Arabidopsis thaliana: one gene and its partners. The protein of the gene in region 2 purifies or fractionates together with the protein of the main gene of each other region. This does not show direct contact. Each region holds a gene or a part of one and is shown on either strand. Other genes may lie near its edges. The genes, in order: IVD, AT3G18860 and APP1.

Region 1 (8,246 bases), about 10 Mb from region 2:
CACGCTGTTTCTGGTAATCTTTTATAAACTACATGTCGTTTTTCCTAATGCTTCATCATAATGCCAACATTAATTTTTCTAATACAGAACACCTTCGAGATGGCATTTATTGTGTGGATCACTGTAAGTTCTAATTTCTTATAGGGATTTTAATATTTGGATTTATAAGAAAGGGAAAAATAATATAGGAAATTGTTATATGTGATGTATCTATAATTTTAATTATGAAATTAGTGGCAATTTGGGATTAACTCTTGCTACCATGATAACCAAGGGATCATAATCACACGACTTGTATTAGCGTAAGCACTACAATTTATTTATTTTATCCCACAAATTATTTACATTTTCGAAATTATATTTTTGTATTAAAAATCATATCGTTAATATTAAGGATATTATGATTTATAGGGTGACAGTCCAGTTCTTGAGCAGCTACATTACATTGCCTCTTTATGCCATTGTAACTCAGGTAATTTAGTCCAATATATATAACACCATTTTTAAATTAAATCGTTTTGCATTAGTATATAAATTATTACTGTTAGTGTAACCTAGTGATCTGAATTTGATTTGGATGCATATATATATGTGTTTAGATGGGGTCAAGCTACAAGAGAGCAATCTTAGAAGAACAACTAGCAAATGTGTTAAGGCACTGGCAAGGGATGGTTAGAGACAAGAAAAAGACTATCCAAACGCCAGACACCGACAACAACAGTAACAATAACAATGGTGATATTGATTCTGGAGAAAGTCCGGTTCAGACAGAAGTTGCTTCTGAGTTTAGATTTTCGGGTAGACAATCGCCGATTTTACAAGAGATACAGATACAAGAGAAAACTGAAAGGTGATCAGATTGATGGAAAATGAGAAAGAGATTGTTGGTATTATTGTTAAGAACTTTTTAGAGTTGCCTTTACTAATTATTGACGAATCAAATGACAAAATAGTAAGTTTAACCAGAAGTGTCAGTGTTAGATTGGCATGCTGGTATCGTGATAACATGTCACACATAATGTGACTAATAATTGATATGGTTTCTAGAGGATTGCTTGAAGCTATTTTTCTTATTGTGAGGTTATTAAGGACACTGTGAATTATATATACGTGTACAGAATGAAAATGTCGCATTGGCAATGCAGAAAACAGACTTATCTCTATTCTTCTTTGAAAAGCTCGCGACCGATGACAATCCTTCTGATCTCGCTTGTCCCTGCACCGATTTCATATAGCTTTGCATCTCTTAGAAGGCGTCCTGTTGCATATTCGTTTATGTATCCATTTCCGCCTAAACATTGTATCGCCTGCAACATCAAACCAAATCTTTTAGTCTTAAAGGAAAGGTAACTAGGTGATCAATATGTGTAGTTATGATCCCTTCGGAGGTTTGCTTTGCTGGTAACCATTAGAAAGACAAGAGACAACGCTTAAAACTGGTTTCGGGTTTGATCTAGCTTTATGAGCTAGTGTCACAGTAACTTTAAGTATGAAGGAAAATAAGGGTACTTGACCTGTAAAGCGACCTGCGTTGCTCTCTCGGCCGCACAAAGAATAGTTCCGGCGCAGTCCTAGACAATAAGCAAATACACAAGAAGGCAGGTGTATTAGGTTGCGGTGGTGATGCATGACTATTTTCATAACAGGAAACTAGAAGGGATGGTTATTTATTATCAAATTACCTTTGGGTCAACTTTCCCATTGTCACAGTCCCTCGCAACAGAGTAAACGTATGACCTGATATGCCAAAGGAACAACTTTTTGCTTGAGCTACATTTCTATGGACAAAATAATTTCCAGAGTATTGAGAGAAGTTTTCTACCTTGAAGATTGTAATGCAGTGTACATATCAGCAACTTTACCCTGAAATTCAACAGAATTGTTTTAGGAATCTTATGATTAAAGTTTGAGATATTCGGAAACGTTTATGAGAAGGATGATCAAGCTCAACCTGTATAAACTGAAATTCCCCAACTGGACGACCAAATTGTTCTCTCTGGCGAATATAGGGAAGAACATTGTCGAGGCATGCCTGCATGATCCCTAAGGGCCCAGCTGCTAAAACAAGTCTCTCCAAATCCAGACCTGACATCAGAACATACACTCCTGCACGTACAAACACTATGTACATCAGACAAGTATAGAGATGGGGATAGTAGCCTCGACTCAAGAAATATACAAGGCGTGTATGTAGCACAACATTACCATTTTGATCTCAGATATTAGATCCTCATAAAACTAGAAAAGCCAGACCATGCAATGCAAATTATCTATCAAACTAGAGATTAAGAGAGTTTCAGCAATCAAAACCTTTTCCTTCCTTGTCTAGAATATTTTCCTCTGGAACGAAGCAATTCTCAAAAACAAGCTCACACCTGCTCAGGAGAGACAGATGTTAGAGAGAAAGAGACAGTGAAAAAGGGATTTAATTTACACAGATATTTTTATCTTGAGAGAATGGGGATTACGTATCGCTTCCCCGCATTCCTAGTTTGTCCAATTTCTGAGCAGTACTGAATCTGCAAAGCAACCACAACAATAAATGGTTTTAAGGAACTCACTCTCTGAATTTGTTCCATTAGTTCTTTACTAAAGATCATAGAAAGTCAGTTTCAACAAGATTGAGAATTCACATACCCGGTCATTCCTTTCTCTATGATGAAAGCCGTGATTCCTTTGGAACCTGCTTTTGTATCAGTTTTCGCGTAAACAACCTGATCAAACCAAAAAAACAACAAATGGTAGAAAACTGTTAAAATTATAGAAAATCAGTTTCAGAAGTTAACATATGAGCTAAACTATATTACCAGTGTTTCAGCAGATGGACCATTAGTGCACCACATCTTGTTGCCATTTAGTATATAACCACCATCTACCTTCTCAGCCTTGCATTTCATGCCAACAACATCTGAACCAGCTGTAACGAAATAAAAAGTCAAATCAGTATACATCAGAACAAAGCATCGGCTATATGTATGTATTGATGTGTTTCCTTCTCACAATCTCAAACTCTTGATCCGAAAAATATATATCTTACCATTAGGTTCACTCATTGCAAGAGCACCAACATGCTCTCCACTGATAAGCTTCATAGCAGTGAATCAATAGTTAGCTAAAACTCTAACGACATTTTAAGAGAAAAAGATCAGGAGAAACATGCAACAGTTCACAGATGAAGAAAATAAAAAACGGTCTTTCTATAAGGTGAGATTTCCAACACCGGTGATATTGGCTGATAAACCATTTGCATAGCAGTGACAATATCCGTAAGCTCAGACCATGATACAAAAGCTCAAGATGAAACCGTACCTTTGGCAAATACTTTTCCTTTTGGGCTGCAGTTCCATTCCTCACCTGTAAAATAGTATTAAATCTTCTCTCTCAGACTCAAAAACTCAGATACTGCAACATAGTTTGTGAGATATATATTTACCAATTGATTGATGCAAAGGTTGGAATGAGCACCATAAGACAAAGCAACTGAACCCGAGGCCCGACTGATTTCCTCCATTGCAATACAATGATACAAGTAACCAAGACCTAGCCCTCCATATTCCTCTGCAGGTAGAGGAACATGCGATTAGGCTACCGTTCTAGACATAAAACAAAACATGACTGAGCTAATAGCAGAAGCATATGATCTTGTGGTAGGAGAGAAATCTACCTGGCGCAGTGATTCCATGGAGATTAAACTCACCCATTAGCTTCCATAAGTTTACATCCTAGTTAAACAAGTACGAAAGATTAGATTTTGATGAGATATATAAGCAACAAAAACCGTGAGAGAAAGGAGTTAACAACAAACCTTTGGAAATGAATTAGTTTTATCAATTCTTTCTGCATGAGGAGCGATATTATCTTGCGCAAACTTGGATACACTTTCTTTAAACTGCAGTTTCAATGGTAGTCACAAAAACAATTAGGTCGCAAAATGCATTCAAGAAAAAATATAAACGACTTATGTCAATCAGCTGAAACAAAGTTAAATCAAATGATGAAGTGTTGTTCCCAATTCCATTTTCCACAACACACAATCATCAAATTAACTGACACAAATCTCTCAGATCATTTCGAATTGGCATGTCAAAACCCCAACACATCCAAGTCGAAAGCTACACTTAGAAAACACCAAACACCAATTTCCTTCGGCTCTCAAACGAGAAGATGGCAAATATACAGACACACAGATACACAACGAGAATCACAGATTTATGGAGAGAAGAGAGAGAGAGAGAGAACCTGTAACTGAGTGTCGTCGAATAGGAGAGACGAAGAACGAGAAGAGAAAGACCTCCTCCGCGTCTTGACGGCGTAACCGAGAATCGATCTGGCGGAGAAAAACCTCTGCATATCTTCGTTATTACCGGTAAGTTAAAAACAAGAAAGATCGGAAGAATGTGTTCGTGTAAAAGAAATCCCAAACGGCTTTTTTTTTTTGTTATTAGAGAGCAGGCTTCTTCTAATTGAGATTAAGTAGTTATAAAAATAGAAATTAATTTGAGATAAGGATTACAAAATTGGAATTGAGAAGAAGATATGAGCAATGAGTCATTGGTCCATCTAATCTAGTTCCGTATACCACTTTGCTATTTGCTACTCCTCCATACCACTGACACTGCTCTATTATACCATTTTCAAATCGACAAAAAAAAATTATTTTTTCATTTATAGTAAAGTTTTTGATATTAGAAGATATGTATATACTACAAGTCAAAACAATTGGTTGTGAGTGTTGATGAGAGAAGAACACATTAGTGTTTAGGAAATATTATATTATATTAACTCTCATCATGAATATGTAACACTAAAATTGTCAATATAATATTTTGTGAAAGTTAAATAACATATTTGTAGAAGACAGTGTATATGTAATGTGTCTTCATTTCATGTACAACGACGTTAAATGAGGTTATATATAATATACTTTAAAATTATGGATCACAAATATAGATCGTACTTATCCACAGGTATTTTAAGTTTCTACCAGTTTTTTTTGTATCAAATCGTATTCCATACTTGTATTCTTCCTTTGTATTATATATTAGAAAATCTTTTAGATAAAAAAGTGTTTAACATTGACTCATTGAGGTTATTTAGAGAAGATAAGTCTGATCTGATCCTTCTCCCTGGTTAACACAATGTGTATTCACTTACGGTGACTATGTACAACATGTTAGTTGAATAAAATTTAGTTTTGGTATAGTAAGCTATATTCTTTTTTTTTTAAATAGTGAGTTATATTCATTTTCAACACTTTGTAAAAGTTACATGCTAAAAACTAGTCGCCATAAAATGCGATACAATGTGTCAAATGGAAATGAATTTTAAAGAATATCTATGTAAAATTCTACTTTTATGTGTAAGATGTTTTTACCCCATTAGAAATTAGGTAAGTGCAGCATTGTTTGTTATGAAGGTTGGAAGTTTGAGAGATTTAGTCGCCATAATGCGATACAATGTATCAGATGGAGATGAATTTTAAAATATATCTATGTAAAATTCCACTTTTATGTGCGAGATATTTTTAACTATTAGAAATCAGGTAAGTGCAGCATTGTTTGTTATGAAAGTTGGAAGTTTGAGAGATTTAGTCGTCATAATGCGATACAATGTATCATATGGAGATGCATTTTAAAGGATATTTCTGTAAAATTCTACTTTTATGTGCGAAATATTTTTACTCCATTCGAATTTGGGTAAATGAAGCCTTGTTTGCTATGAAAGTTGGAAGTTTGAGAGATTTCCACTTCGGTTTAATGAAAAGTTTCTTAGATATATTAAATATATTAGTAGGTCTCCAGTGTAGATCCTCGTATCTTCTTATGGTTAGCAAACATATCAAATTAATGGTGCATGATATTCCTAATAGTGTCACTAAAACATGAACAATTTTATCTAGTGTCGTACTCGAAAGACTGGTATATATCACAATCACATGCATGAGAAAACGAGAGTTTGATATATCTTTGCTTATTATCATTGTCGTTTTATTTTTGCTAACTCTACATTATTCCTTCGACTTTGAGTTTTTCTCTTAATATATCATCTAAAAAGGTAATATTATATTATTAATAGTTAATTCTCCTCTTATACTCCTTCTCATTATCATCCTCATTCACATCCATATTTATGACGACAAAATTAGTTAGTAGATGCATGAATTCAGATGAGTCTCGAACAAAGACTTTTTGGTGTACCATCTACACCCACATAGATATGCAAAGTCGCGAAGATACATAAATATATCCATTATCACCCAGATGATCGTCATGGCTATCTTTGCATTCAGCCACGAGTTTGTCATCCATTATGTCAATATATCCATAATCATAAAGTGATCTCCTAAGAACCATCATTTACTAATTCGGCAGAACCATAATAAATAACCTTTCTTTATTCACCATTTTTGTTATGAAGTATGTCGGCTCCTATCGGAAAAATTAATCACACATTTATAGAAATAGCAATAATATATATATATATATATATAATGTATGTACTGTATTAATCTTTGTTTGTTCAACAATCAAAATTATTTCAAACCAAACATATTATTTCACAAAATATGCACAACAAATTTGTCAACTTATTTCTATCACAATACTTTGGTTTTTCCTTTCAACATGATTTTGGTAGTACGAATGTTTAGGTTGAATGCAAAAATAACCTTTTAATACGTTGATATAAATTTTTGTATAACCCCAATAAATTTAAGTATTTGATTTATACATTTCTAAAATGCATTTTGATGTAAAAAAGAGAGATTAAAAACATGCAAAACAAATGTTTACAACAAAATTTCTATAAATTAATACTCAAAAAATTAATATTTCGATAAATCAATATATTTTTAGGTTGGGAGTTAATTTTTGAATCAGTTTAATATATAAATTTATAAAGTATTCTTTTTTTTTCTTTCGATTGTTTTCTATTGAATGTTGACGATATTTTTTGGATACAAGTATAAAAAGGGTAATATTAGAATCTAGCCAAATTTTACACATAAATTAATAATGGTTAGTTTGTTGGGGTAACTGACTCTTTTTGTGGTGGGGAAAAGGTGAGGAAAGGACAATTAACCTTGTAAATTTATAGTTTTTTGCACTGATGCATTTGTTTTTGGTGGTGGAGACTTCAACGTAAGGTTCAGTGAAAAAAAGTCATCTAATGACAAAGATTAATGGAAAGGAGAAAAAAACCATGTAATTTTAAGAAGTGACATGAATCAAATAAAAATAATGAAAGAAACAACTTGCATTTGAACAAACTCGTATGTATTTATGAAAATAGCATGTCTATATAAACAATAGCCATGACATATTGAAAGATCTTATGTAAAACAAAAATATAATATGTTAAACGGAAAGATATTAGTGCAATAGATTACACAAAATTCGATACAAAAACTTGAGATATCTACGACGGTGGAATTCCAATGAAGAGATAGAAGATGAAATAACTTGGAATTTAGATAGATCTCATGAATTTTTGTAAAATAGCATATCGAAAGAAACAAAAGTGTGGCATATTGAAAGATTGCCAGGTAAATAGAAAAATACAAGTACATGGAAAACAATTACACAAAATCGAGAAAAGTACAACTCATAAACAATAGAGATATCTTCGATAGTAGAGTTCCAAGGGAGAAAGATCCAATCTCACGAAAGGAGAAAAAAATCGATTAGAAGGATCTTTAACTATTGGAGGGAGAGAGAGAGAATTTGACAAACTCTATCTTTGGATGAAAAAGAATCCATAGGTAAAAGATAAGAGAATAATATTTTTAAGTAATTTCAAATACACATTACCTCATAACTAGTTTCTATATGTATTTTGGATCCATTGTTAGATCATATAAATTTCTTAAAAAAAATTACTCCCAAGTCCCAAGTGATATAAATCTATAACAATTCAAGTATTCAACCATTCATCCCAAATAACCAAAAGCCTCAGTCCCTTGTAAGTTAACGGGCTTAAACATCAGTCTCAGGCAGTCAGGCCTCTTGACATTATCTGGAAATAGTTTTCTTTTTTCTGTCGACTATTGAGTGTCAACCATATTATTTGGAAACATAACCATACAAGTATAAAAAACAATTACTCCGAAGTCCCTAGTGATATAAATTCACAACAATTCAACCATTCATCCCAAGTAACCAAAAGCCTCAGTCCCTTGTAAGGTGTAAACGGGTTTAAACATCAGCCTCAGGCTACAACCGGATACGATGAACATGTTGCAACACCTG
Region 2 (8,246 bases):
AAAATTGTAGAAACATAAATACCAACAATAGTATAAGTAAAATAACCATTTAATCATTTTGTGTGACTAAAGTTGATACTGAAAGCTTACTGCGTCAGATCGTAAAGTAGTATTGAACTCTGTCATCTTTTTCAGAATCCCGTCATATTGAGCAGCATCGAAAACTAGCACACCTCTCTGGAGAGAGTTATGGAAGAAAAAAGGATCAAAAAGCTAGAAACATTAAACAGTAATAACTAATAAAGAAAGAGAACCAGCGTACTTTTGGAATGTGCTTGTATAAAGGTTTTGCCGGAGTTGCTGCAACAGAAAAGAGTCAGAGCATGAGGCAGCAAAAGAACAATACAAGAAATGAAGAAATTGAAAGTATTATGTGAAAATGACACAGACAGTGTATTCATACCAGCTGTACGAGATGCTTGCCCAGGCACATAAGCATTTGCTGTTACACAATAAAAGGCAAAACACAAAATTAAAATAAAATCCTAAAAACAAAATTTCAGACCAATTATTTTCAAAAATTTTATACCGCCGGTGAAGGGATCACGAAAAGATGGATTAAAGTTGAAGTCTTTCTGCCCAGAATTTTGTAATATAAATTCAACAATTTGCTGCCGATATGCAAAGGGGAGATTCTCTTTTAGAAGCCACTTGTCAGCTGCATCATAAGGATTGTCTGCCAAACAAGAAAAGATTTGAAGTATCAAAAACTGAAGCAGTTTCTTGTGGTTGCACTTGTAATAAAACAAGGCCAGTAAGAGCATTCAGGTACCTGATCGATTGTAAGGTAGCTTCCGGATAGGTTCCCCATCACCAATGTCAACATCGAAAACTAGAGAAAAAAAAGGGCTAAGAATTTTGTTCTTCGATTTTGAGAGATTCTCAAGTTTCCATAATAGGTCAAAATCTAACCAAAATCATATTGAACTCCCTCGTGAATTGGACGATCAGCCACACCATCTGGGCCATCAACAACCTCACCAATCTGAAAAAAGGCATGCAGTGAGAACTCAAAACATTCTACCACACTAAAAAGCCAATGTTTAATCCTTCATATGCAAACAAATGTTAGAGAGAAATCTATCTCATTTACTTGCTATCTACTTAAGAGATTGCTACTTCGAAGGAGGATCAGAAGTCAAAATCAGATGAAATTTTCCTCTCAGGTATGGGTTGCCACATTAAATAAAATCCTCGCAAAAGGCAAATTGCTGGCAGTACATGCTATCAATTTATGACCAGACAGCATGCTCATTCGTGGAAATTACAAGCCCTAATCCGATGGCAACTTTTCGATGAACAAAGTAACAAATATTCCTCAAGGTAATTGTTTCAAAGGGAAGTTATCTGTATATTCATGCATGCGATCTAATATATAGCAAAGCCGCATTCAGGTCAAGAGCAAAAACGAAATGCAGTCGACAAATAAAAAAAAAGATAAAAGTTCATTCTGTTTACTTACTTTGTCCCATCTCTGTTCTTTCATATTCCATGCATAAGCAACACCATTGTCTCCTTCCCTTACTACTTTTGTCTGGCCATCACTGGTACCTGAGAACATATATCAAATAAGAGAGGATGATGTTACAAGAATGCCAGCTTAATCTATTCAAATTTGATCGCCAGACACTATCAATTATCTTTGTGTTCTCTTGAGATTCTTTAAAATTTAGCCTTTCTCCCGTACGAAACATTAATATTACAATTAATTGGATAATAAATGGTACCTGGTGACGTCAAAGAATCAAGCCCTGGCAGCTCGTCAAGTTTCAATCCGCCAACCTTTTTCCTGAGATAAAGAACAGCACGCATATACTTTGCAGTTATATTTTGAGCATAAAAGACAAGAAAGCATACCCCGTCAGCAGGTCATATAATATGCATTGCCACGTGAAGAAAAAAAACTCAATGGACATAGAATTTAGTCGATAAGAATAGAGATCACCATAAATGATCAGATTACCTGCTTAGTTTGTATTGAGAAATTTGGGAATCATAGGCATCAATCTCCATCTGATCTGCAATCGCATCATGACGTACTGTCCAAACACGAACCACTCCATCTGAACATGCTGTCACAATATCTCCGGTTTCCAAAAACTTGGCATCCCAGATACAGCCTGGGTGTTCCAAACTCTGAACGCAGACTCCATCTGTACCAAAACAAAAATAACAAAGTAAGAACAATAGATCAACCTATAAGATCTAAACATGCTTTAAACCAAAATGTCAGTCTCTTTTCGCAAGTGATATCTATTATAACAGCTATTGCAGACCAATCTTCGTGAGCCTTTCAAACTGGTTTCTGATCAGTTGATTACTGTCTGACATACTAACAACTAACTTTCCATAGGTTGCAACTAAGTGATCAAATTTATAACACGTCTTCCACAAAAATATGATATATAGACATCTTTATTATTGAAAGAAAACTTTAAGAGCGAGCAACATACTGAAAAGTGGAGACATATTTTCCAAATTTAAACATCTCAGACCTCATATAACCTAGAAAACTGTGAAACATAAGTGAAGAACAGCCAAGGCATCAATAGAAACTAAGGAACCCGTAATCACCTTTCCATATCTTGGCATGACGATCTTCACTGGCACTAACAATAAGGCCAGACGAATGTGCGTCAACTGAATAAACAAGGGAGGTGTGGCCAACCATCTCAAGAAGAACTTCGCCACTTAGTGCCCATAACCTGATTGAACTGTTAGAAAAAATAAAATAGTGATTTACAACCTTTGCTGTGTACAAACACATGAAAGGATAAATAAGAGAAAACTCAAGTATCATATTATCCCCGGATCACAAAACTTATCCAGGTCATGCAAAAGACAACACAATTCGAGTTAAGCACATAAGGATTCACTTGGACAATGAAATTCAGTAAGGCATGAGTTTGTTGGAAGCAAATAACTTACCCATCATGTGATGCGGAAAGAAATCCTAAATCAGGCATCACAGCTAACCCTCTAACAGTATCTGCATTGTAAAATAAAAATACTTGTATAAGACAATAGTTTCTCCAATAACAAGGAATCCCTGACAACAGGCCAGTGTCTTGGCACTTCACAAGATAAGATATCTTAGAGCAGCTAGTATCAGATTCTATCTTATTTCCGGTATGCAGTTTCTCATATTGACAAGGAAATTTTGAGAGATACGAAATTTGGGAGAGAGTAATGAATTCACCTGTATGCCCTGAAAGAGTTTGCAGACTCGTTTTACCCTTCCAGAGTTTGAGACTGGCGTCACTTGAACCTGGTAAGTACAAGTAACATCAGTGAAAAATATGCCGTCAAGCCTAATCAAAAAGAAGTATATGCATCTTAAGAACAACCAAAAAATCATTTAACCTAAGCTTGCAAAACGATCATACTAGAAAATACAATCGAATAAGGAAGTCCATGGCAGCAAGAAAACAACAAAAAAAACAGAAACAAATGCATCAAATGACAGCTTTAGCTGGATCATGTACCTGAAACGAGCTCACCAGATGGCAGCCTTATCACTGCCTGGATAGGCGACTGGTGTGCATCCCAAGATTCAACAAGCTGACCGTTTCTCCATCGTTTCAGGGTTCTACAAATAAAAATAAATAAATGTAAGTTACATTACACAACAGTAGAGGGTAAATCAAAATTTGATGGATCTCTTTACCCCAGTATTACTAAAGCTAGTAAGCTACTCAAGACAATAATGCACACAATTAACACTCATAAAACCTTTACAACTACGGTTAAGATTCATATAATATCCTGTATGTGATACAATTCCTGGGAAACAGTGAAGGAAAACCGCAGGCTAGTACACTCACTGGATACTAAGTAAGAGGCATTATTGACTAAACAGTTGGTAAATGTCATACTAAGGAAATTACATGAACAGGAGGACTTACTGATCAACTGAAGATGAAACTATGTCCTCATTATCAATAGCAACACCAGTGACTTGCATCTGATGACCCTTCAATGTCTGAATATTCTCTCCATTCATCAGATTCCAAACAAAAACGAAAGTATCCATACTCCCAGAGACAAGTCTTCCTTCAGGGTATTCATCAGTTGGTGGGATCCATGCAAGTGGCCCAACAAAGCTAGTATGACCCAGCAGAATTTTCTCGGAGGTATACTTGCGCTTATCAGATGGATCCAGTGACCAAACCCTTATGGTCCTATCTCTTGATGAAGTAGCTATATTCTCATCATTACACACACAAATCCCACGAACCTGAAGATGTTGATAAACCATGAGTTTCCATTGTCACAATCACAGTTATTATTCAATTGCATAAGCTCAATAGCATAAAGACAATCACACTCCTGCCGAAAAATTGTATAAATTTGATCTATATTAATGCCATTGGCACGCAAGGTTAAACATCAAACCCTATTAGATAAAATTCTCAAATTGAGTACAAATTCGTTGAGAAGTCAACCTAATAATAAAACTAATCAAAACAAAGCTTCACACTAACTATCAAATCAGCTCATTGAATTGAAAAACCCTGGATCAAAAGCGGAACAGTGAAATTGGAATCACGAGGGTGAATTTTGCTGAACCCTACTGAATACAAGACTTAATTTCAAAATCTAGAGTAGAATCGATCACGAAAACGAGAAATCAAAACAGTAGAAAGAAGAAGTGGATTTAGCAAAGAGATCTTACATCATCATCGTGGCCATGAAGCTCGCACCTGAGCTTGTACTCGTTGAAATCGATATCCATGACCATGACTGAGAAGGAGAAGCAGCAGATTGAGAGATACCAAACGCCAAATTGCTGCGACTCAAAAAGTGACTTGAGGAAGGAGAAACACTCTGCAGGAGAAAAACTAATTTCTTATTTCCTTTCTTTTATATAAGGATAAACGTATAATAAATAACCTTTGTGGGCTTTCAAAGCCCGGCCCAATTGATAGACTGAAAATAATAATAAGCTGAATAAAGGGAACAATGAAACACGATGACGTGTCGAATTTAATAATGACGAAAAAGGAGGGGACAGTGGTTTAAATTTCCTCACCTTCCTAAGAGTACTACTTTCTACGAGAAGTGGCATAGACCGTAATTAGCAACAACCTCTGAGCCTATTTTCACAAAACGATCGTAGTCCTTCATGATATTTTTCTCGGCCATTAAATTCTTCTTCTTCTGCACTGTTTGTTTATAAATAAAACCTGGAAGCTCAGTTCCATGGTAAGCTGTCTTCTTCTATCTGGTTCCTTTCTCTGTCTGAATTTCTTTTTTCCAATAATAAATTTTACAAATGCTGTGTTCTTGATTGGCTTTTTTAATCCTCACTGAGATTTGTGCTTGAATCTTGATTATCTTGGTGAGAGTTTTTGTTTTAGACAATGTATATATGTGTTTGAGAATACAAGCTTCTTCTTTATTTTAATCCAACATTAATCAGATTGTATGAATTTGAATAAGTCTATTAAATTACAAGACATTGTTTTCGTTTTCTGTTGATAAAGTACTTTGCTATCGATTCTTATTTTGATGTGTCTTTGATCATTACCTGCAGGTGAAGTATGTTGTGTTCAACCATATGAGCTCTGATGGTGATTCTGGTAACAGGAAATTCATGAACTTTGTGATTCATTGCATCAAGAATAGAAGACTAGAAGGGGGAGGTTAATTAGATTATCTTAAGGTGTATAAAATGGAAAAAAAGAGTGTACCAAATTCTGATAAGTTGTCTCTGATTAGAGTGTTAAGAGGTATAATATGTCTGATGGTGTTAGTTTCAACAGCTTTTATGATGTTGATATTCTGGGGGTTCTTATCAGCTGTAGTGTTGAGGCTTTTCAGCATTCGCTATAGCCGTAAATGTGTTTCCTTCTTCTTTGGCTCGTGGCTCGCCTTGTGGCCTTTCCTCTTTGAGAAGATTAACAAAACCAAAGTTATCTTCTCTGGTGATAAGGTTCCTTGCGAGGATCGAGTATTGCTCATTGCAAACCACCGAACAGAAGTTGATTGGATGTACTTCTGGGATCTTGCACTGCGTAAAGGCCAGATTGGGAATATCAAATATGTGCTTAAGAGTAGTTTGATGAAATTACCTCTCTTTGGTTGGGCGTTTCACCTCTTTGAGTTTATTCCAGTTGAGAGGAGATGGGAAGTCGATGAAGCAAACTTGAGACAGATAGTTTCGAGTTTTAAGGATCCCCGAGACGCTTTATGGCTTGCTCTTTTCCCCGAGGGCACAGATTACACGTACGTTTCCTTTCTTTGGAGTATCATTCTTGTTTAGAGACCTTTTAGTTAAAAGCATTTTACAATGGAACTTTATGCAGAGAGGCTAAATGCCAAAGGAGTAAGAAATTTGCTGCTGAAAATGGCCTTCCGATACTGAACAACGTGCTGCTTCCCAGGACAAAAGGTTTCGTCTCCTGCTTGCAAGAACTGAGTTGCTCACTTGACGCAGGTTTGTCTATACTTTTGCTGGTTTGCATCAGTGATTTAAGATCCTAGGCCTTTCCTCTCTTCTTGAAAAACGCAAACTCTGATGCAACACTATTGCACTTGCAGTTTATGATGTGACCATCGGTTATAAAACCCGCTGCCCATCTTTCTTAGACAACGTTTATGGAATTGAGCCATCAGAAGTTCACATCCACATCCGTCGTATCAACCTGACCCAAATCCCAAATCAAGAAAAGGACATCAATGCTTGGTTAATGAACACATTCCAGCTCAAAGACCAGCTGCTCAATGACTTTTACTCCAATGGTCATTTCCCTAACGAAGGAACAGAGAAAGAGTTCAACACAAAGAAGTACCTCATAAACTGTTTGGCAGTGATTGCCTTCACCACCATCTGTACACATCTCACCTTCTTCTCATCAATGATTTGGTTCAGGATTTATGTCTCTTTGGCCTGTGTCTACTTGACCTCTGCTACGCATTTCAATCTTCGTTCTGTTCCACTTGTTGAGACTGCAAAAAATTCCCTCAAATTAGTAAACAAATAAACTTTCATTGCTTTCAGTTCACAACTTCACATGATGGAATATTTTTTACTTTTGTATTTCGGGGTTAAGAATCAATCCACTTTCTACTTATGCAATGTGAGGTCAAGCTGCAATATATGATTAGCTCTATTTTAGAATGTCTTCATACATTCATCTACACATGTTAGATCATAGCTTGGGATAATAAAACACAAAATACAACCATAAGACACATTTTGCCTGCTACATAACTCACAGAGCCGACCACCAACTATTCTCATTAATAAATTGTCAAATTGGGATAATGCTTCCAAGATATATCAAGTACAAGTACCTACATACTGTGCATGTGAAAGCAATTAAATTGAATTTGAGCCCCTAAGAAAATTTGAGGCCACCAAAACACCCGTGACGAGTTATCACATTGGAACATAGTAATGTCAATGTCTCACGGGTCTTCTTACTCTATAGTATAGACCATTTTCGACATTCGATATTTCCACTACATGTGCTCATGAATATGGATACTGAATAATATCAAAAGCCTGTGAACATGCTTTCATGTTAAAATTATAATTTCGTTTTATCTAAATCTCACCAGTTACGTGCCTATTCTCTCAATATAAACCCTATGAAGCAGGTAGTATAGCCTATCCTAAGCTAAGAGAAGAGCAAACCCAACAAATTGTTGAAAAGACATTTAGGTAAATACTCTCTCAAAGTATATAAAGCCATGGAGCCAAACACTAAGCTTATCGTTCTTACCTTGGTTCTTGCCTTTACACTCACGGCAGCAACCGGACAGATCTTCTGCGGTATGACTTCTACTTGTCTGAACTCTTGCAAGCCCTATGTGTAGGCTAGGAACCCAATGACCACCGGAATTGATCCCTTGGGCCCTTGCTGCAATGCCCTGTCCAAGGCCGATTTCCAGTGCCTCTGTAAGCATAAAGACAGTATCAATGTCCGTGATATCGAGCTTTGACCTCGCTGAGAAACTCCCGGAGAAGTGTGGATTAGCTGCTGCAACTTGCTAGTAGGTTTTCTTTCGGAAGGTTTCGCTTTGTGGTTTGGTTTTCATGGTTTTCTTATACTGATTTATATTGATGTTGTTGTTGTTGGTCTCTGCCTGATGTTGTTTCTGTTGTTGTTTTCTTCACTTTGTGCTGGTGCTGCTTGTTTTTTCCCGCCTACTTCAAAATAATAAACAAAACAAAAATGTTGACCGTTAAAGCACAAAAGACAGAGATCATCAACCTTCGGTCATGTGAGTGATATATA
Region 3 (8,246 bases), on a different chromosome or scaffold from region 2:
CAGGTTTATTCCACTCGATGTTTCGGGTCAAGATCTGAGTGGTTCACTATTGACTAAACTAGCAGAGATGATGAGGAAGGCATTACCAGAGATCAAGTCTTCAGTCATGGAGTTAGAACCGCGGCCTAGGGTTTTCGTAGTTGACTTGTTGGGCACGGAAGCTTTAGAGGTGGCTAAGGAGCTTGGGATCATGAGAAAACATGTTCTGGTTACTACCAGTGCTTGGTTTCTAGCTTTTACGGTTTATATGGCGAGTCTTGACAAACAGGAGTTGTATAAGCAGTTGAGTAGCATAGGAGCATTGCTTATACCCGGATGCAGCCCGGTTAAGTTTGAGCGGGCTCAAGATCCGAGAAAATATATTCGGGAACTCGCTGAGTCTCAGCGTATTGGGGATGAGGTGATAACCGCAGATGGGGTGTTTGTGAATACGTGGCACAGTCTGGAGCAAGTGACCATCGGGTCTTTCTTGGATCCAGAGAATCTCGGTCGGGTTATGAGAGGAGTGCCGGTTTATCCTGTTGGACCGCTGGTTAGACCAGCAGAACCAGGTTTGAAACATGGCGTGCTGGACTGGCTTGACTTACAACCCAAAGAGTCAGTGGTTTATGTTTCTTTTGGGAGTGGTGGGGCACTAACCTTCGAGCAGACAAACGAGCTGGCTTACGGTTTGGAGCTGACTGGCCACAGATTTGTTTGGGTAGTCAGACCACCGGCTGAAGACGACCCATCGGCATCAATGTTCGACAAGACCAAGAATGAGACAGAACCTCTCGATTTCTTACCCAACGGGTTTCTAGACCGAACCAAAGACATCGGTTTGGTGGTCCGTACATGGGCACCACAAGAAGAGATTCTGGCACACAAGTCAACAGGAGGGTTTGTGACTCACTGCGGATGGAACTCAGTTTTGGAGAGTATTGTGAATGGTGTGCCAATGGTAGCTTGGCCGTTGTACTCAGAGCAGAAGATGAACGCGAGGATGGTTTCTGGGGAGCTAAAGATTGCGTTGCAGATTAATGTTGCAGATGGGATTGTAAAGAAGGAGGTGATAGCTGAAATGGTGAAGAGAGTGATGGATGAAGAAGAAGGAAAAGAGATGAGAAAGAATGTTAAGGAACTGAAGAAGACAGCAGAAGAAGCTCTCAACATGACTCACATTCCATCTGCTTACTTCACCTAAAACTAATTAGCAAAAAGTTGACAATTTAATAATATCAAAACGATAAACATAATGTTCTCTTTATGGTTCAACAACTGAGAATCTGCTATGAATAAAGACATGTGGTCCAGAAACATGAACTTTGAATGCAAAACTAAAGAAAATAATCTGTGTATGACTTGAATGTTTTTGGTTTACTAGTGAGAGAAGTGAAGGAGCCATTGATAAACATCTATTTAAGAGAAATCTGGGAGGGGATCAAGCGGATACACTTACAGGTTCGGTAGCTTTCTTGAGCCATTCCATTTCAGTCTGGTTCATAAATGGGGCTAAGATGTCTTTGCACTTCGAATGATATGTGTTTAACCAGTCAATCTCTTCCCGTGTCAACTCGTCTAGATCGATAAGTTTCACTTGATATGGTGCCTGGAGAGAGAGAGAGATCGAGAGTTACTCAGATGTGCATGTTGATATGAGAACTACGGTATTAGTTAACAGACAACGAGTAAGTACCCAAGTGATATGCTCGAATTGCAAGTAGCCCTTGTCGCCAAAATTGAATTCAGTCTCAGCGTCATTGACAACAAGAACATTCTCCAACCTAATACCAAAGTTCCCGTCTTCATAGTAACCAGGTTCTGCAAATAAATGAATATAGACAGCTTTTAGAATATGATCAAGGTTAACCCGAACAGGAGAACTACCGAGTTTTTGTTGCAGACGGACCATCTGTTACAGTCATGGTAGCTTGAAGAGGTACATTCCTGGCACTCGGTCTGAAACTAACTTGGTGAGGTCCTACATATTAAACCATACATAATCATCGCAGAAAGTTAGTTGATGACATCTAGAATTTCAAAAACATTATTATCAATGACTCGATATTTATAAGAAAGAGAGAATAAAAAGAGGTATCTCATAACTTGCCTTCATGAACACAAAGGTAAGAACCAACTCCATGACCAGTACCATGTCGATAATCCAACCCATACTTCCACAAAGGAGCTCGAGCAAGAATATCAAGTGTATAGCCTGTAAATTCAGATATAGCCAATGCAACATATAAAAGATCAATAGCCAAATCTCAAGTTGGTACAGAAACAAAATTCAAGGAGATCATAACTTACCGTTTGTTCCCTTTGGAAACCGAGCATTTCCTAGTGCAACATGACCCTTGAAGACCTAAGGATGCGGCACATTGAACATATATCAGCAAATATGCTTATTCCAAATAAATAAGAATGTAATATTCAAAAGGTTATCATCAATAAGTACATACCGCAGTATAGCATTCCTTTTCATGAGCTGAAGGTTTTCCAAAGTGAACCGTTCGGGTTATATCAGTTGTTCCATCGAGATACTTTGCAGAAAGACAACAACAACGAAATTGTATTATAGAGCAAAGACTTTGATAAATACAAGGTAAGCTTATAGTATACACTCAATCATGTGATATTTACCTGTGCTCCTGAATCACATAAGTAAATTTTGTCGGGGTCCATCTCGGCACAAGCTTCTGGCTCTGGTGAATAATGAATAACAGCAGCGTTTGAACCAACCGATGATATAGTAGGAAAGCTTAAACCTCTAAAATGCTGCAACCACACGAGAAATGTGATTCATCTCTTTCATGGAAAGACAAAAGTTTAATATGTTATATGTAAACATTACCTCTTTTGAAGCTCGAAGACTTTCCAGCTTATCGCTCACAGTCACTTCAGTAAGCTTAGAGGTTTCTCTGTATTGTTTTGTTTTTTGCAGAAGAAAAACTCATTGCGTCATGAATCATGGAAAAATGGTTTGCAAAATCGGGAAAAACAAAACAAAGAAGAAAGAAGAAGCTTACGATGGTTTCTTTTTGCTTGCCTCTGCTTCCAAGAAGTATCCAGATGCTCCATAGAGCTCCTGCATCTATGGTTTCACAATGTTGAGTGACATAATCAATCATCAATATAGTAGTAGTGTTCAAGAAACAAAATTTTCATTTATTCAGTACCTGATTGTCGAGCCAAACAAGGTACTGGACAACAGCAGCACCATCACGAACATGTGCATTCTTGATCCCTTCGAGCTCAACCGGGTTCTAACATAAGTGAGAATAAGCATGTATGAATAAACTAAAACACGTCGAAAGAGATCACTCGTTTCAAAAATCATTCTTTATTACCTTCAAGGCTTTTGAGAGGGATATAGGGGATGGTTGCAGAAGGACCTTCTCAGCATCCAATTTGGAGTAAAGTGCATAGCAGCACGAAGCAGGATCCACCCATAACCGATCAGGCTGGTCAGAATCAATCTCCATATCCTTTGCAGCCTCATGTTGGACAGTTTTAGAGGCAAATGAAGAAATAAGTCGATCCGAAGCAAGCAAGGCCACATCTGAGATCACATCTGTGTATTCCCGGACTTCCACACCGAGCCCATTGAAATAAGAGTTTGCCTCATCAGACACTTTCTTTTTGTCAACATAGAGAAACGCAGAGTCGGTGGTAAGGATTGCAAACGCATGAACAACGGGACAATAAGCAACATCAGTTCCACGGATATTATATAGCCAAGCAACCTGCATCAAACCCCCAATCAAAATACATTCCAAAGCTGAACTGAGAAAAAGAGAGATCTTTTTACTACGAAAACACACCTCATCAAGAGCAGCGATGACCAAACCACGAGCACCCTCTTGCTTAAGCTTTGCCCTCAAATCTTCGAATTTATGGGAAACAGAACGGCCAGCAAACTCCAAAGGATGAACAACAACCGGACTCATCTCAGAAGGTGGACGACTCTTCCAAACTTCATCCACAAGATCAGTAGTTGTGGTGATTAGTTTCTGATTCTTCTTGGCAAACGATTTCCCCCATCTATTCGCAGTGTCTACCGAGACACACCATGAATCAACACCTATATTTGCCTCTTCAGGTAGATTCTACATTGTTAAACCATAAGCTAAATCAAAGAACACATCTCAAAGTTACAAAATTTATGGATTGATCAAAAGATTAGTTGAGGACTAACATCAGACATCCAAACTTCAACAAGAGGATCTTCTCCCATCCGCATTAGTGTCCACTCATCGCTAAGCTGTTGCAATGCTTGCAAGAAGTATCGACCATCTGTCCAAAGTCTTGCTTCCTTCTTCGTGATAAGTGCCAAACCTATATATTTATAATCGCCGATCAAATTCAATTCACTCTCGATCAACGATTCAATTCTAACAATATTTGAATCCAGAACAATAGAAAATAGAAACAGACCTGCACTTCCACTGAATCCAGACACGAACTCACGGCGTTTGTCTCGTGCAGAAACATACTCGCTCTACATACAATTTAAAAATCGAAACTTTCACTCAAATCAATGAACAATACATGATTAAGTAATAGTAGACGTATAATCAAGTAATCTGAGATCGGATCATGAATCAAAAAAGGGTAATTCAATTGAAAATAAATCAAACCTGGTGATAGTCTTCGGAAGGAACAACCAAAGCATCAAGAGGAGGAGAGTGAGAGGCCATTAGTGACCTCAACGAAGAGAGAATCTCGGACATGGCGATGTTTGGAGTTCAGAGAAGAATTTGACTGCTTCAAGGACGAACAGAACACAGATGCAGCAGCAGATAGATATAAAAAAGTACAGATATCACAGTTTTATGTTAGTAAACTTTACGTGTTCCAAGGAATCCTAATGGCTGACGCAACTAATTATTTTTTTTTCCTACACTTTAACGATTTGTGAAATTATAAGTTTTTGATAAAATATCCAATCAACAACTCCAATGAAAGAACACGTAATGAAATTTTGTTTTTATTTTACAACAAGGAATAAATAAGAGACAAATAATATAAAGAAACATGTACACACTAACCATTAATGGCGAAACTGAAAACACTCATAAAGAAAAGAAAGAAATTTCGATGGAATTGAGAAAAGAAAGGAAGATTTTTTTTTTTATGATTATTTAGCAGGAGGAGGAATTGAATGAAAAGAGACAAATAGAGGAAGCAATTTTTGTTTTTGTTTTAAGGTTGAGCAAGTCTTTTGACTATTGCAGCCATGTAGTTTCCTTGATGTTCAGCAAGAGCCAATTCTGTTTCTGTTGCTTCTCTTGACCCATCACCAGCGAACACACCTGCTCCATAAGGAGAGCCTCCACGTATCGAGTCCATCTTGAACATTCCAGCTCCAAATGTGTAGCCTATTGGTACAAATAGCATCCCATGGTGCACAAGCTGTGTGATTGCTGTCCATCTGCAACAGAACACACACGAGATGGAAATCAGCAAGTGTTTCTGAGCTTTAATGTGGAAACGATGGCAATAAAAATATCCACATTGCACACTTGGAGAAATACGCAAAAGCTTTAAGATTCCGCATTGTTATGCTTCTCTATATTCGCAAACTATCACAGCAACCGAGTGAATCAGCTGAAGTAAAACAGACAAATATCTAAGTGCAAATGATGACTAAAGAGAGTCCACATACATTGAGGAATCTATCTCAGAGCTTAAACACATGCAAATTATCGGAGGCAACACTCATGCCTATAGAATTGGTACTTTGGGTGATGAGAAAGTGAGAATCTAAAATAATCCAGTTTTACATGTTCTAAAGATCTCCCCTTACTAGAGCTAACATAAGCGTAGCATAAGTGCAAGCCTATCGTACCAAAAGAGAGACCAGGGTACTATTCAATGGTGACCAGATTGGACTTGAAATGGTCAATGGTGTAGTTAAGAAAGCAATTAAAGATCAAGCAAGCAATTCACCAGAATGATAGCCATCTCTGACAAGTTTCCTCTAAAGTACTAGACAAAGTCCTGACCACAACAACCTTTCAGGTTTTAGCAACCACCTATATACATCAAATTCAAGGTTGCATTTATTTCACATAGTGACTCTGTGATTATAGCAATTCAATACTTGTACTCCAAATTCAACTAATATACTTTAGAACCAATGCAAATGGTACTAAAGAGTATAAGAAAGAAGCAAAAGCTTACGCAGTGGTCTCTTGGCCACCTCCTTGAGTGCCAGTGCTCACAAAGAATCCAGCAGGCTTACCAGCAAGACTCTGCTCCTTCCACAATGATCCCGTCGAATCAAAAAACGCCTTCATCTGCGCAGCCATACAACCATACCTAGTCGGAAATCCAAACAGAAATCCATCAGCCGCCGTCAATTCCGCCGCCGTAATCTCCGGAATCTCCAAATCCTTAACCGGCGCCTTCATCTGCTCAACAACCTCCTGCGAAAGCGTCTCCGGAACTCTGTACAACGTCGCCTCCACTCCTTCGACGCTATCCACTCCCTTTTTCATCCTCTTCGCTAAGCTCTCCACATGTCCGTACATCGAATAGAACACGACGAAGATCTTGAGCGGTGACGAGATCTTAGCAGCCGTAGTAGTAATCGCTGGTGTTGTTGTTCCTCCAGTATTCGTCGCCGTTGTTCGATCGCCGTCAATGGTGGTTTGATCATCGTCAATTTGGATCGGAGCATTAGTAGCGTCGTTATCATCATCGATTCCGGGACCATCGCCGGTGGTGGCCGGCTTCTTCTTCTTGCTCGGAACACAACCTCCTCCTTTCCCCATCGAGAATATTCTCTCCCAAATTTTCCGTCAACGATAAGTTGGATTAATTTAAAATTTAAATAAATGAAAACAATCACTTGAAACAACTTTAGTTGTATTTTTAATCACCACTCTAATTTCGTGATTAAAAATGGGGTTAAGTGAAGATTTAACAGCTCACTTTATCACACTCAGGTCTACAAAAACGGCGCCGTATATGTTACGGTCAATTTTGAGTTGATAATTTGGGCCTAGTCTGTTGGTTTCATACAAGGAGTCCAACGTCTGACCTTCGATCACTTAATAGGCTTTCATTGGGCCATTTATGCTATGAGAAAAAACCCAAAATATAACTGAGCTCATTCATATTGGGCCTATCAATAAGGGATCCCCGATCAATATAATGGCAACAAGTAACTGATTAGTGATTAAAATCAAAATTTATTACAAAAATTGTAATGTATAACGTTATTAATATTCCGTTTTGATATCACATTATATTAGGGTTAACAAAATGACTAAAGTTGTGAATGATATATGTAATCGCTCCGTAATAATATGTACATAGAGAAAATTGTTTTGACATTATTTATAAATTATTAGCCTCTAACTATAATATGATGAGGGTGACTCATCAAATTTATCTTGTAAAAGTTTTCTCATTTTTTACTACTTTTTAACGATCCAGAATCTAAATTTGATAAAGAGAGAATCGTTTTTACTTTTTATGCATGAGTGTATATAGTACAGGTATATAAGTAGTATTATAATTAATTGATGTATATGATGATTGCTTTCTTAGTGGCTAACCCGATGGTGTCTTTTGACTTGTTCGAAAGCGTACTAATTTAAATCTCTAGCGTAGTCAAATTAACCTAATATCCTCCTACCTACGATCTAGAGAAAAGGAGTTGCATGAAAATTATCAATCATAATGTTACAATTAGAAGAAAAGCGAAGCATATCTTTGGAGAATAATAGTTAATAGTTAAACCAAAAGTCAAATTTCAACTATTGGTTATAAGTAATTGAAATTTCAAACGCTACTGGTAGATTAATGTTAAAGAAGAAGTACTTTAAAATGTTGAATCGAACATGCTAAAAATTTGGTATTTATTATACTGTGGTTAGTTAGAGCTAATGTAGATCTTATCTGATTGGTTAATGTCTGGAAAAGGAAATATAATTTTATATCAACCGATAAATTAATGTATGTATACTTCGATTGATTAAAAACATTATTAGTTAAATAATACCATATGCTTCTATGTTGTGCCAGGTACTAGTTTGGACCACCATGAAAATAATACAAGATCGCGCTTAAAGCTGCAAGAACCAAAATAGAAAGAATATTGTAAACTTAGAGCAATAAATTAAGACTAATTAAGAGAATTTTCTTTTGAAAATATGTTAAAAACTCAAACCCCACGAATCTAGGACCAAACCCAAGAGCAATCTAGAAAAGCCTCCTCTTTTATAGCTGTCATCGGTGACGAATCTTGTGTTCAT

What was found.
Region 1: the proteins of AT3G18860 (region 2) and IVD fractionate together in Arabidopsis thaliana (co-fractionation; one large-scale study listed by BioGRID). This does not show direct contact.
Region 3: the proteins of AT3G18860 (region 2) and APP1 fractionate together in Arabidopsis thaliana (co-fractionation; one large-scale study listed by BioGRID). This does not show direct contact.

The regions. Positions count from the first base shown.
Region 1 is NC_003074.8:16,620,499-16,628,744, forward strand, and holds IVD (isovaleryl-CoA-dehydrogenase), read right to left. Parts: upstream 4,546-8,246; 5' UTR 4,351-4,545; coding exon 4,240-4,350; intron 3,890-4,239; coding exon 3,806-3,889; intron 3,723-3,805; coding exon 3,665-3,722; intron 3,559-3,664; coding exon 3,434-3,558; intron 3,355-3,433; coding exon 3,310-3,354; intron 3,087-3,309; coding exon 3,038-3,086; intron 2,918-3,037; coding exon 2,808-2,917; intron 2,715-2,807; coding exon 2,638-2,714; intron 2,520-2,637; coding exon 2,469-2,519; intron 2,376-2,468; coding exon 2,311-2,375; intron 2,107-2,310; coding exon 1,952-2,106; intron 1,864-1,951; coding exon 1,823-1,863; intron 1,738-1,822; coding exon 1,683-1,737; intron 1,572-1,682; coding exon 1,515-1,571; intron 1,308-1,514; coding exon 1,161-1,307; 3' UTR 954-1,160; downstream 1-953. Other genes in the region: MLO3 (Seven transmembrane MLO family protein), read left to right, coding at 1-13, 88-123, 235-302, 412-472, 600-854; AT3G45310 (Cysteine proteinases superfamily protein), read right to left, coding at 8,206-8,243. UniProt on the Arabidopsis thaliana protein: Involved in degradation of the branched-chain amino acids, phytol and lysine for the supply of carbon and electrons to the ETF/ETFQO complex during dark-induced sugar starvation.
Region 2 is NC_003074.8:6,498,269-6,506,514, reverse strand, and holds the start of AT3G18860 (transducin family protein / WD-40 repeat family protein), read right to left. Parts: upstream 4,848-8,246; 5' UTR 4,742-4,847; coding exon 4,676-4,741; intron 4,238-4,675; coding exon 3,906-4,237; intron 3,590-3,905; coding exon 3,486-3,589; intron 3,269-3,485; coding exon 3,200-3,268; intron 2,990-3,199; coding exon 2,929-2,989; intron 2,715-2,928; coding exon 2,575-2,714; intron 2,154-2,574; coding exon 1,964-2,153; intron 1,790-1,963; coding exon 1,728-1,789; intron 1,552-1,727; coding exon 1,463-1,551; intron 986-1,462; coding exon 913-985; intron 833-912; coding exon 773-832; intron 677-772; coding exon 530-676; intron 443-529; coding exon 404-442; intron 301-403; coding exon 263-300; intron 178-262; coding exon 91-177; intron 1-90. Other genes in the region: LPAT5 (lysophosphatidyl acyltransferase 5), read left to right, coding at 5,675-6,228, 6,309-6,439, 6,544-6,986.
Region 3 is NC_003075.7:17,323,154-17,331,399, reverse strand, and holds APP1 (aminopeptidase P1), read right to left. Parts: upstream 4,784-8,246; 5' UTR 4,713-4,783; coding exon 4,620-4,712; intron 4,481-4,619; coding exon 4,417-4,480; intron 4,318-4,416; coding exon 4,178-4,317; intron 4,089-4,177; coding exon 3,804-4,088; intron 3,726-3,803; coding exon 3,330-3,725; intron 3,246-3,329; coding exon 3,159-3,245; intron 3,074-3,158; coding exon 3,009-3,073; intron 2,901-3,008; coding exon 2,834-2,900; intron 2,758-2,833; coding exon 2,623-2,757; intron 2,523-2,622; coding exon 2,442-2,522; intron 2,345-2,441; coding exon 2,290-2,344; intron 2,195-2,289; coding exon 2,090-2,194; intron 1,961-2,089; coding exon 1,889-1,960; intron 1,801-1,888; coding exon 1,676-1,800; intron 1,589-1,675; coding exon 1,439-1,588; coding exon of another isoform or gene 1,421-1,438; exon of another isoform or gene 1,186-1,420; coding exon of another isoform or gene 1,056-1,185; coding exon 1,017-1,055; downstream 1-1,016. Other genes in the region: AT4G36770 (UDP-Glycosyltransferase superfamily protein), read left to right, coding at 1-1,183; AT4G36750 (Quinone reductase family protein), read right to left, coding at 5,185-5,413, 6,166-6,758. UniProt on the Arabidopsis thaliana protein: Catalyzes the removal of a penultimate prolyl residue from the N-termini of peptides, such as Arg-Pro-Pro. Aminopeptidase that binds to the auxin transport inhibitor N-1-naphthylphthalamic acid (NPA).